Drosophila melanogaster: one gene and its partner. The protein of the gene in region 1 binds, or shares a complex with, the protein of each later gene. Each region holds a gene or a part of one and is shown on either strand. Other genes may lie near its edges. The genes, in order: Zw10 and Zwilch.

Evidence for each region.
Region 2: Zw10 (region 1) and Zwilch share a complex: the UniProt entries of both Drosophila melanogaster proteins name them as parts of the RZZ complex.

Annotation. Positions count from the first base shown.
Region 1 is NC_004354.4:2,602,500-2,607,627, reverse strand, and holds Zw10 (Zeste-white 10), read right to left. Parts: upstream 3,432-5,128; 5' UTR 3,326-3,431; coding exon 1,976-3,325; intron 1,915-1,975; coding exon 1,099-1,914; 3' UTR 804-1,098; downstream 1-803. Other genes in the region: Smyd3 (SET and MYND domain containing, class 3), read left to right, coding at 1-366, 432-802; Klp3A (Kinesin-like protein at 3A), read left to right, coding at 4,030-4,709, 4,783-4,934, 5,006-5,128. UniProt on the Drosophila melanogaster protein: Essential component of the mitotic checkpoint, which prevents cells from prematurely exiting mitosis. Required for the assembly of the dynein-dynactin, Mad2 complexes and spindly/CG15415 onto kinetochores.
Region 2 is NT_033777.3:31,210,305-31,215,264, forward strand, and holds Zwilch (zwilch), read right to left. Parts: upstream 3,073-4,960; 5' UTR 2,986-3,072; coding exon 1,879-2,985; intron 1,822-1,878; coding exon 1,326-1,821; intron 1,265-1,325; coding exon 1,010-1,264; intron 949-1,009; coding exon 881-948; 3' UTR 662-880; downstream 1-661. Other genes in the region: CG1542 (uncharacterized protein), read left to right, coding at 3,240-3,305, 3,368-3,451, 3,510-4,283; CG15561 (uncharacterized protein), read right to left, coding at 4,504-4,960. UniProt on the Drosophila melanogaster protein: Essential component of the mitotic checkpoint, which prevents cells from prematurely exiting mitosis. Required for the assembly of the dynein-dynactin, Mad2 complexes and spindly/CG15415 onto kinetochores.

The DNA of each region.
Region 1 (5,128 bases):
CAAATGCGGTCGCCACCTTCGAGGGCAACGAGCTGCACGTCCACGCGATCGAGGACATGGAATGCCTGGACTGGTCGAAAATCTTCATCAGCTACATCGACCTGCTCAATACGCCGGAGCAGAGGCGTCTGGACCTCAAGGAGCACTACTACTTCCTATGCGTGTGCAGCAAGTGCACGGATGCCAAGGAATCGAAGGAGATGCTGGCTGCCCTGTGTCCCAATCGCAACTGCGGTGCGGGAATCAGTGTGGACCGCAATAATTGCCCGCGATGCGATGCCGGCATCAGTCCCAAGTTGAGAAATGCCTTCAACGAGGCGATGACTCTGACCCGGCACAATCTGGAGAACATGAAGGACGTGGCCTGTGAGTAGATGCGACGAAATGGAATTAGCTCCATAATAAGCACATTTTCACTCTCTCGATCACAGATCTCGATGTGTGCAAGGTGTGTCTGGACAAGCAGACTGGCGTGTTCCATCCCCTGAATGTGTGGTACGTCAAGACGCTCGATGCGGCCTTCGAAGCAGCCATCGAAGTGGGCAAGTGGAGCGACGCCCTGGATTACGGGCAACGTTTGCTGCCAGGCTTTCGAAAATACCACGGACCCTGGAATCCGCTATTGGGCCTGCTTCACATGAAGCTGGGCAAGATTCAGCTCTACGAGGGCCATTCCAAGGAGGCACTGCACCATCTGGAGGAGGCCCAACGCATCCTAACCGTCACCCACGGCCGAGATCACAGACTGCTTACTGAGCAGCTATACATGCTCGTTCTACAAGCGCGACAAGAGGCGCACTAATGGGATTTAGTTGTTTTTATTCATTTAAATAAGTCTTAAGTTAAATATTGTGTTGCGTTGCGGGAAGAATGGAATGGATTTTTGTGGATAATTACTTTTCTATGTACAACAGAAACCATTCGGAGAATTAAAGATTATCAAATTCTATTACTTTTGGCATTTGTGGTAAACAATTCAAGGAATTAAAGTAAGGACACATTGATGGTGATCATCAAATTTAGACTCCGTTTACCACCTCAAATGTGATGTCTATCCGCCGTTCAACATTCCTCGCTCGCAAAAAAGGCGCACGCGCCCTATACAATCTGCGTAATGGCCTTGGCCCGCCAATCCGTATCCTGGAACAACGCCCTGATTAGGTGCTTTATCTCATCCGACTTGTAGCTGGCGGTCAGCGGGCCGACGCCGTCGCCCCACAGCTCTGTGATCTCCATGAGCGACGCGTTCAGCATGGCCTTCAGTTGCTGCAGCTTAAGCCAAGAGAGCACCTGGACCACCTCGTTTGGTTCGCGGAAAAGCGTGGGCGCCCGCTGGAGCACCACGTCAATGAGATCGCTCAGCTCACAGGCCATCTGTGCGGAAATGTCGCGCAGCGTGAACACTCGACGGATTAGCTCGGCGACAAATGTGTTGATTAGCTCGCAGAAGGTTGCATTGTACACGGTCTCCGGGAGCACATTGGCCCACACGTTCTTCAGCAGCTCCAGCTGGCGAAGGCACTGACGCACCAGCTTCAGTGGACCAGAGCCCAGCGTGTGCGTGCTCTCGAACTCGAACTCCTGCATGATGCCCATCAGGATGGAGGATTGGTAGTCGACCTGCACGCGGAAATGCTGCTGACCGGTGGCCTGCAGTGTCTTGGCCAGCGCCGCCAAGCTTTCGATGCCCTTGTTCGCATGCTGCGCTACCCAGTGTGTGAAGAACATACAATTGTTGTGGAACAGGACGGCCTGCTGTGGAATGCTCTCGAGCAGCTTGCGGTGCACCTTGGGCACCTCATTGATGTAGGTGTGCAGCATGATGGAAATGACGCCGGCTATGGGATCGGCCTCTTGGTCGCCCAGTTTATCCGTGGGCTGGCGAAGAATGCGGTCCATTAGTTTGACAAAGTCCTGCCGGCGAAAATGAATCCATTAGTGCGTAATCAATCGTTTCGTTTAGCGAACGACTTACCTGAGCACTTTTCGAGATCATGCAGCGTGGGAAGAGGAAGGGATCGTTTGCCACTTCGGCTGAGTGGTTGTTGGGCGCCACCAGCACCATGTCCTGCAGATCGCGCTGGATGATCTCCCGCGCCGTTTCCAGAACTCGACGATACATCCGATTGCGGTAGTAGGTCTCGTACTTCTCTACAAACTGCCCTAGGGCTCGATCTTGCTCGGGATTGATGATGAATGAGTCTACAAGCAGCTGCTCCAGCTGGGCGACATCCTCACACAGCGTGGATGTCTGATACTCCTCCGTGCTTTCGGGCACAGCTGGTATCAGGCACTCGTCCACCAGTAATTTCAGCATTTTATCCTTCACATGATCGCCAATAATGCCAAAAACATGTTGGTCCCTGGACACACTGCAGTTGATCCCGGCCAGCGTGTGCAGCAGCAGCCTGAGGTTCTCCAAGACCTGCTTGTAGTTCGGGCGAAGCTGCGCTGAGCTGGGCTCCTTGGTGGCGTAGGAAAGCGACAATCGAACGTAGGTGCCACCATCGGCTTCTTCGCTGTAATCGGCCATCACTGGGCGCATGATCACCGGTTCTATGCAATTGTCCAGCAGGAATTCGCAGAGGCGCGCCGGATTGTAGGGCTCCTGGAAGAGAGCCTGCACAATATCCTGCAGCTGCGTTTGATCCCGGCTCACCTGCAAGGTGACGCAACGCGATGTGGGAAAGGATTTGCACTGCAGCTGCACCAGGCGATCGAAGCGCTCCTGGAGGCTCTGCTGCAGCATATATGCCTGTACATGGTATTTCACCTTGATGGTCTCGTAGCACTCGAGAGCCTTAAAGATGCGTCGAACCTCTGGCGTGGCCACCTGCGCGTCCCCGTCAACGGAATCATCGCCATAGATGAAAGCCCTCAAACGACCGACAAGGTCCAGTAACACCAAGTAATCCTTGGTGGCCTTGGCCTCCTCCACGCACTGGAACAGCTCGTCGATCCTTAGCACATGCTCGCTGACACCCAGACCCAAAAGGATCTCTCGCAGCTGCCTGCCGTTACCCGCCATCTTGACATTCGCCTCGTCCAAGGCGTCCAGTCCCTCGGAACCCAAGTTCTCGAGCATGTCGTGAATCTCGCGATTCAAGGACCCCGACTCCTCCAGAAATATGTCCGGCGACGTGTTGTTGGGCAAAAACTCCGTGTAGTTGTCTTCGATGTGCTTGCGGACGCGCATCTGGAAGCGATTAACGCGCGTCAGCACTTTTAATATGGCCGATTGGGTGGCCTCCACGTTGGCGCACCCGTTCCCATTGCCGTTGAACGCCTCCTCCAGCACATTGAACCGCGGCGCCTCTTCCTCCATGTCCTGCTCTTTGACCAGATCCTCCTTTTCCAATTCTTGCGAAACCCAAGACAACTGGTTTCTGCAATTCCCTGTTGCTACCAACGATTGTTCAAAAAAGCGATAGATATGTGCGGCTGTCTGCTATCGGCTATCGGCGAATTGGCTAGTTGACAAGAATTGGGCTCTTATCACTGGCAGTAGCTAAAATAGTTGTAGATCTAGGTAGCTTTTATTTTTATGTATAAGTATGTAGATACACTGTCAATGATTCATTTTGTCAAATCGGCGTGCACAAATCGTCCAACCACATTTTTGCAAATGTGCTATTCAAGAGCCAAATTATAAAAAAATCGAAATCTTTCTACACCGGCACCTCCGTCGATCGCGCCACTAATCGACATCTGCAACGAATCGATAACAACGCCATTTTTAAAAATACTGGCAGAAATGCATTTGCTTCTTAGCGTCGCGTTTCATTAGTTTAGTTCCTTGATCCAAAAATCGAATTCATTGAGAGTGCCGGGCTGCGCGTGGAGAAGCCGCGTTGCTCCAAAATCTAGACCAACCAAAATTCTAAGTTTTTGTAAGTGCTAACCAGTTGATCAGTTAACCAAAGTCGGACTTGCTGTGCCCCAGAGAAGGTAAGTGGTTGGTGGTGTTGGTCGAGATGGCGGTAAAGGTGATGGAATGTTATGATTGTCCTTCCCTCCCCCTACCCCCAGATGTCCAGCGAGGATCCCAGCTGTGTGGCAGTGGCCTTGCGCGTGCGCCCCTTGGTGCAGTCCGAGTTGGATCGCGGCTGCCGGATTGCCGTCGAACGATCGGCGGATGGAGCGCCACAGGTTACAGTCAACCGGAATGAGTCGTATACGTACAACTATGTCTTCGACATTGACGACTCGCAAAAGGATCTATTCGAGACGTGTGTACAGGCCAAAGTGAAAAAGCTGTTAAATGGCTATAACGTAACAATCTTGGCATATGGACAAACGGGTTCCGGAAAGACCTACACTATGGGCACCGCCTTCAACGGAGTGTTAGATGACCATGTGGGCGTTATACCACGCGCCGTTCATGATATATTCACAGCCATTGCGGAAATGCAGAGCGAATTTCGTTTTGCTGTCACATGCTCTTTTGTGGAGCTCTACCAGGAGCAGTTCTATGACCTTTTTTCGTCGAAAACTCGGGACAAGGCCACCGTAGACATCAGGGAGGTCAAGAACCGTATTATCATGCCGGGCCTCACCGAGCTAGTGGTCACATCCGCCCAGCAAGTGACCGATCATCTGATCCGCGGCTCAGCCGGACGGGCTGTGGCCGCCACGGCTATGAATGAAACCTCTTCAAGATCCCATGCCATATTCACATTGACGCTAGTAGCCACCAAGCTGGACGGCAAGTATGTTGTGGGCCGCCATCACCTCGTTAGAATACTTAATGCTTATACACATTTGACCTCCAATCTCCGATAGGCAATCCGTTACCACGTCCAGGTTCAACCTGGTGGATCTGGCTGGTTCTGAACGCTGCTCAAAGACCCTAGCCAGCGGCGATCGGTTCAAAGAGGGTGTGAACATCAATAAGGGTCTTCTGGCCCTGGGCAACGTGATCAATGCCCTGGGATGTGAGTATCTATCATTTAGCCACTGGCTTGAAAATTGATCTCCATTTTTATATATTCCATATAAATTGCAGCTGGCCAGGCCGCTGGCTACATACCCTATCGCCAGTCCAAGCTGACGCGTCTGCTGCAGGACTCCCTGGGCGGTAATTCCATTACGCTGATGATTGCTTGCGTCAGTCCCGCCGACTACAACG
Region 2 (4,960 bases), on another chromosome or scaffold:
TTAAACAAACTTAATTAAGATTTCACGGGCACTGTTCACTCTTCACTCTTTAGTCAACTGTCCAAAAAATTTGATTTGATTTCCAGCTCCCAGTGGCTATATTCCCTGGCCAGGACACTCGCGTGGAAATCCTTGCTTGAAATTCCGTTCGCTTTTCAGGGGAAAAACAGGGCTGGAAAAAACACGACCGAACCGCTGCGCGTTCCACGCACGTCTGACAAACTGCAAATCAATCAGCGACGGGCCAAGTACTCTAGTTGGCCAACTGGCGCATCCGGCTAATTGGATTGTAACATATCGGGAATGCTCGATGGCGCCGTCACCATTGGGCACACACTCTTTTCGCCTCATTTGCAGCATTACTTCACTGGAGGAATGGCCAAATGCTGGTCATGCTGACCTTTGTATAGAATATGGCCGGCAAAAACACTGTGATAAAAGTGCGAGCAGGGCGGAAGCGGATTTCGGCCAGGTTTTCAAGATTCCCAATGCAGCTGCAATAGCCTCTGGGTCGGCTTAAAACTTGTACGAGTTCGTTTAACATGATTTCGGTGTGCACTGCTGACTTTTTTGGAGGTTTGCGAAAACGCGTCGAAGAGCGTGTTCAACAAGCTCAAACAATTAAAATTCCGAACAAAAAGGTTCGATAGAAAAAAAGTTTGAAAAGTTATAACCAAAAGGCATTTAATTTAATAATACAACAAGCAGTGTTTGAAAAAATTCAACATTTTAAATGTGTCTCAAAACATTATGCAGCTAAGGGACATTCTTGCTAGATATCCATTAAATAAATTATTACAATGTGAAAAAGGCCATTTTAAACCATTCTTAGCCATGCTTAAATTTAAAGAATGTACAATTTTGTATTACTAAGCAAGCCTTACTTAAGTGAGCGAATCTTGTGATATATCCAGGAATGATATGTGCGCTCCTTGACCATCTCCTTGTCTGCGAAGTCAAATATATTACCATAGCTATAGAAAATAAACAAGTCAAAAAGCAAACTTACCATCACACTGGAAACACTGAGCCAAGTTCGGCGGACAAATGTTTTCCGAATTGAAATAGAAGGTGGTCTTTAGTTCGCGGAACTTGTTGTGCGAACGCATGGTAATGTGCCGGGAGTAGGGATCCTTGCCATCCAAGTGATCCCTCACATAGTGGGCAGACAGGCGAATGTCCATAACATCACTTAGCTGATCATCGATGGATTCTACTAATTTAGGCGGTTTCTTCAGCAATTCAGAACAGACATCGTTGTAAACTGTAGGTCAAAAACGGAGTTATAGCTAAAAATCCCAGGATCTGCTTTTTGTCCTTCTTACCATTTGCCAGATTTAAGTGGATGTGCATCATCAGGAGATGCTCTAAGGTGCAGTGAATCTGAAACAACTTTGAGATTCTCTCCGTACTCTCGTGCTCGTCGAAATGGCTGTTTTTGAACCCAGCATCATCGTCGCTACCGGCATATTTTGTACTCCGCGAATTGACAGCGCCGTGATGATGCAGCAGCGTCTTTCGCATTCCAGCTCCAGGGGTCGGATCACCCCTGACCGCATTGTGCAGGGATTTTCGAAGCTGGGGCAGATTCTGGGGAGAACCATCGTCCATCGACGCTCCGCTGGAGTCATCCTTCAACAGATTGGTGCTGCACATCTTGCTCTCGGTGTAGATAAACTCGTAGTCCTTGTACAACTTCTCCAGGCCAATTTCCAAAAGCAGTTCCAGAGGCTCGGCCCCACTTAAACAAGGCATGGCCAGACGACGGTTGGCCAACTCGGTGATAATCTTGGCAAGTCGATTTTTGTTAGTAGGCGTGTTCTATGGGGTGAGGAACATGAATAATATGTGGTGGTTTGCATGCATTAGCATACTTACTACTATGTTACACCGTGCAGCACATTGGAAGAGCATACTAAAGGCAATTTTGAGATCCTTGTAGGAGTGGCAGCACTTGAGCAGCTCCCAAAGCTTATCGGTTAGATCCGTGAGCTGGCGAACCTTGGCCCTCTGCACCACATCTTCGATGTCAAACTCCGCATTGCTGATGCTATACCGACCTATAAGGCCAGAGACATCTGTCATTGTCTGATTAATGGACTCGCGCAGCTCGTCCATGTCAATGCCACTGCCACAACGATAGGTGGGATCCCGAGAGACGCCCTGCTTGACATCCGTGTGGTAGGAGACGATGTCCTCGCGTATGTAGACCAGAATGCGCAGCTGATTCATAAAGTCCTGCGTCAAAGGACCGCAGTCGCCCACGCGAAAAGTGTGATTCAAAGCCACATCGCAGTCGTTCAGGTTCACCAGGAGCGGAAGTGCAGCACTAGAGGTCCAGGAGCAGCGTAGTCTCATGTGGGGATTGACCTGGTAGCTATTTTCAATGAGAGTTTCATCCGGTGTCTTGCCATGATGGCGCACCAGGGCTTGCGAGGTTACTAAGTAAGCAGGGCGCACACCCTGGTAGCTAAGTATTCCCCTGGAGAAGTGCGTAGGGTTGAACTCGTACTGGAGCAACTGAGTCTGCCCGAGATCACTGCCGTCGCACAAAAACCACACGGATCCGAGTCCCTCGGCCAGCTGCAGGAACTCGGAGCACACGATGGACCTAGCCTTGTCCACGGGTATTCCGCGTTGATATTCCTCCTCCAGCTTCCAGGGATTCGAGTGATCCAGCTGCAGGTCGATGGACAAGTCGGCTATGGCGTCCACCAGGCAGTCGTCCTTCAAAGGACTTCCCGTCAGATCCAAGTCCGCAGAGCCCTCTTTTTTTGGGGCTGCCCTGGTGGGCGTGGTCCGGAGTCTCGCCACTGCTCCATTGCGATCCTCCTTAAAGACCAGCACAATCTTCTTGCCAGCTTCCGCAGCCCCCACCATGCTCACCAAGTAGGTGGGTGGCGCTCCATAGGTGATCGTGTATGACTCGCCACACCGCCGCATTAGCTCCGCGTAAACGTTTGCCAAGTTCGCAGAAGCCGACATTTTTGGAGCAAATTCGCAAAACAGAAACAAAAAGCGGCAGTATTTGAAAAGCGAAGCGAGAATTGGTTAAACGGTCACACAGCACTTCGCTTTTTAGTGCACCTCAATAATTTTAGCAGTAAGCCGCGTGAAGGTCACACTGCAACATCGATAGCCGATAGACTTAGGCCAGCAACAATCGATAATTCTTATCCCCGCACGTGTTGAAATTGTTTTCTTTTATTTGGATCAGATTTAATTTAGTTAATTCAGACATGTCGGACTTTGAAATGGAGGACAGTGCCTCGGGCTACGACTCAGGGGATAACTCAGATGCCGAGGTAAGTGAGGAACCGAAGAAATGAACACCCCGTATACCAAAATCTCCACTCTTTTCCTGCAGCTGCAAGCGGCATTTGAGCGAGGCGACTTGAAACCAGGCCTAAATGTGGAATTCAATGGCCAGAGAGACAAAGTGAACGATGTGGTAAGTAGCTAGCTGGATGCCCGCTTTTGAATCGACTAATCCAATCCTGCCCACATAGACCAAACTGCTGGCCAAGACAGAGGCTATCAAGATGCAACTGCCTTGGCTGGAACGCCTGGACATGATCAACACACTAGCTCCACTGGCGCCGGAACTCGCTGTACAGCTGGAGAAGCACGAGCAGAAGCGGGCCAATCTCTTCAAGGGCAACGCCAAGCTGCCCTACATTCGGCCCGAGGAGGATCCCGTCCTGAATGACTTCAAGAGGGAGATGCTCTTCCACCGACAGGCGCAAAGTGCTGTTCTGGAGGCCATTCCCCGCCTTCACGAGCTGGGCATAAAGACTCGTCGACCCGATGACTACTTCGCTGAAATGGCCAAGTCCGACGAGCACATGCAGAAGGTGCGCGCCAACCTGATGGCCAAACAGCAAGGACAGGCGAAATCCGAGCGCATCAAGCAGATCCGCGAGCAGCGCAAGATGGGCAAGATGCTGGCCAAACAGACCAAGGTCCAACGCGAAGCCGAGAAGAAGGACATGCTGGACAAACTGAAGAAGTTCCGCAAGGGCAAGCTGAAAAACCTGGACTTCCTGGAGGACGCCAAGGCGCTTGAGTCCAAGCAGAAGCAGTCAGCCGAGAATCGCAAGAAGCGCAACAAGAAGTTCGGCTTCGGCGGCAAGAAGAAGGGCCTCAAGAGGAACACAAAGTCCTCCTCCGCGGGATTGGATGGCGACAAGTCCTCCAGGCGCCAGCGGGGCGTAAAGGCAGGTGCTTCGGTCAACAAGCGGCTTGGCAAATCGCGACGCATTAAGGCCAAGGGCAGAAAGTAATCCCCGGGACTGCCGACTATATTTAGGTGACCAAACTCTAGTTTTATAAAGCCCCCAATCCTGTATAGATTTTTTAGACCCATAAATACATAACATTTTGTGTGCACACAGCCTTACTTTCGAAATGTGGAATACTCCGTATAGAATTTTAGAATTCCATGAGCAATTTTCATAAATTACATTTTTCTAACATCGTTTATTCTAAAGTGGACTATAACTATTACACGTTCTCCTTGTTCTTTCGTTTCTTTTTTAGTTTTGTGCTAGTTTCCGATTCCTCCGAAGAGTCCGCCGTTTTTCGCTTCTTTTTTGACTTTACTTGTTCATCAGTTTCAACATCCTGGGGCAGTCCTTCAGTTGCTCCAAGCCCTGCTTGCCTATCCGCTCTCTTGTCCTTCTTCTTTTTTATCTTCACTGGCTCTTCGACTTCCACACCGTCTTCCTCTCCCGGCTCCCGTGTCTTATTTTTTTTCCTCTTGATCTTGACGGGATCTTCTGGAGTTTGATGTGCTGGGGATTCCTTTCCTGCCTTCTCAGCCTTGTCTTTCTTCTTTTTCTTGGATTTTATGGGCTCTTCCAGTTGGGAAACCTCACATGCCTCGGAAAACTCCTCCGCTATGGATTTTTTCTTTTTCTTTGCCTTCGTATCACACTGCTCCACACTGTCATCAACTGAC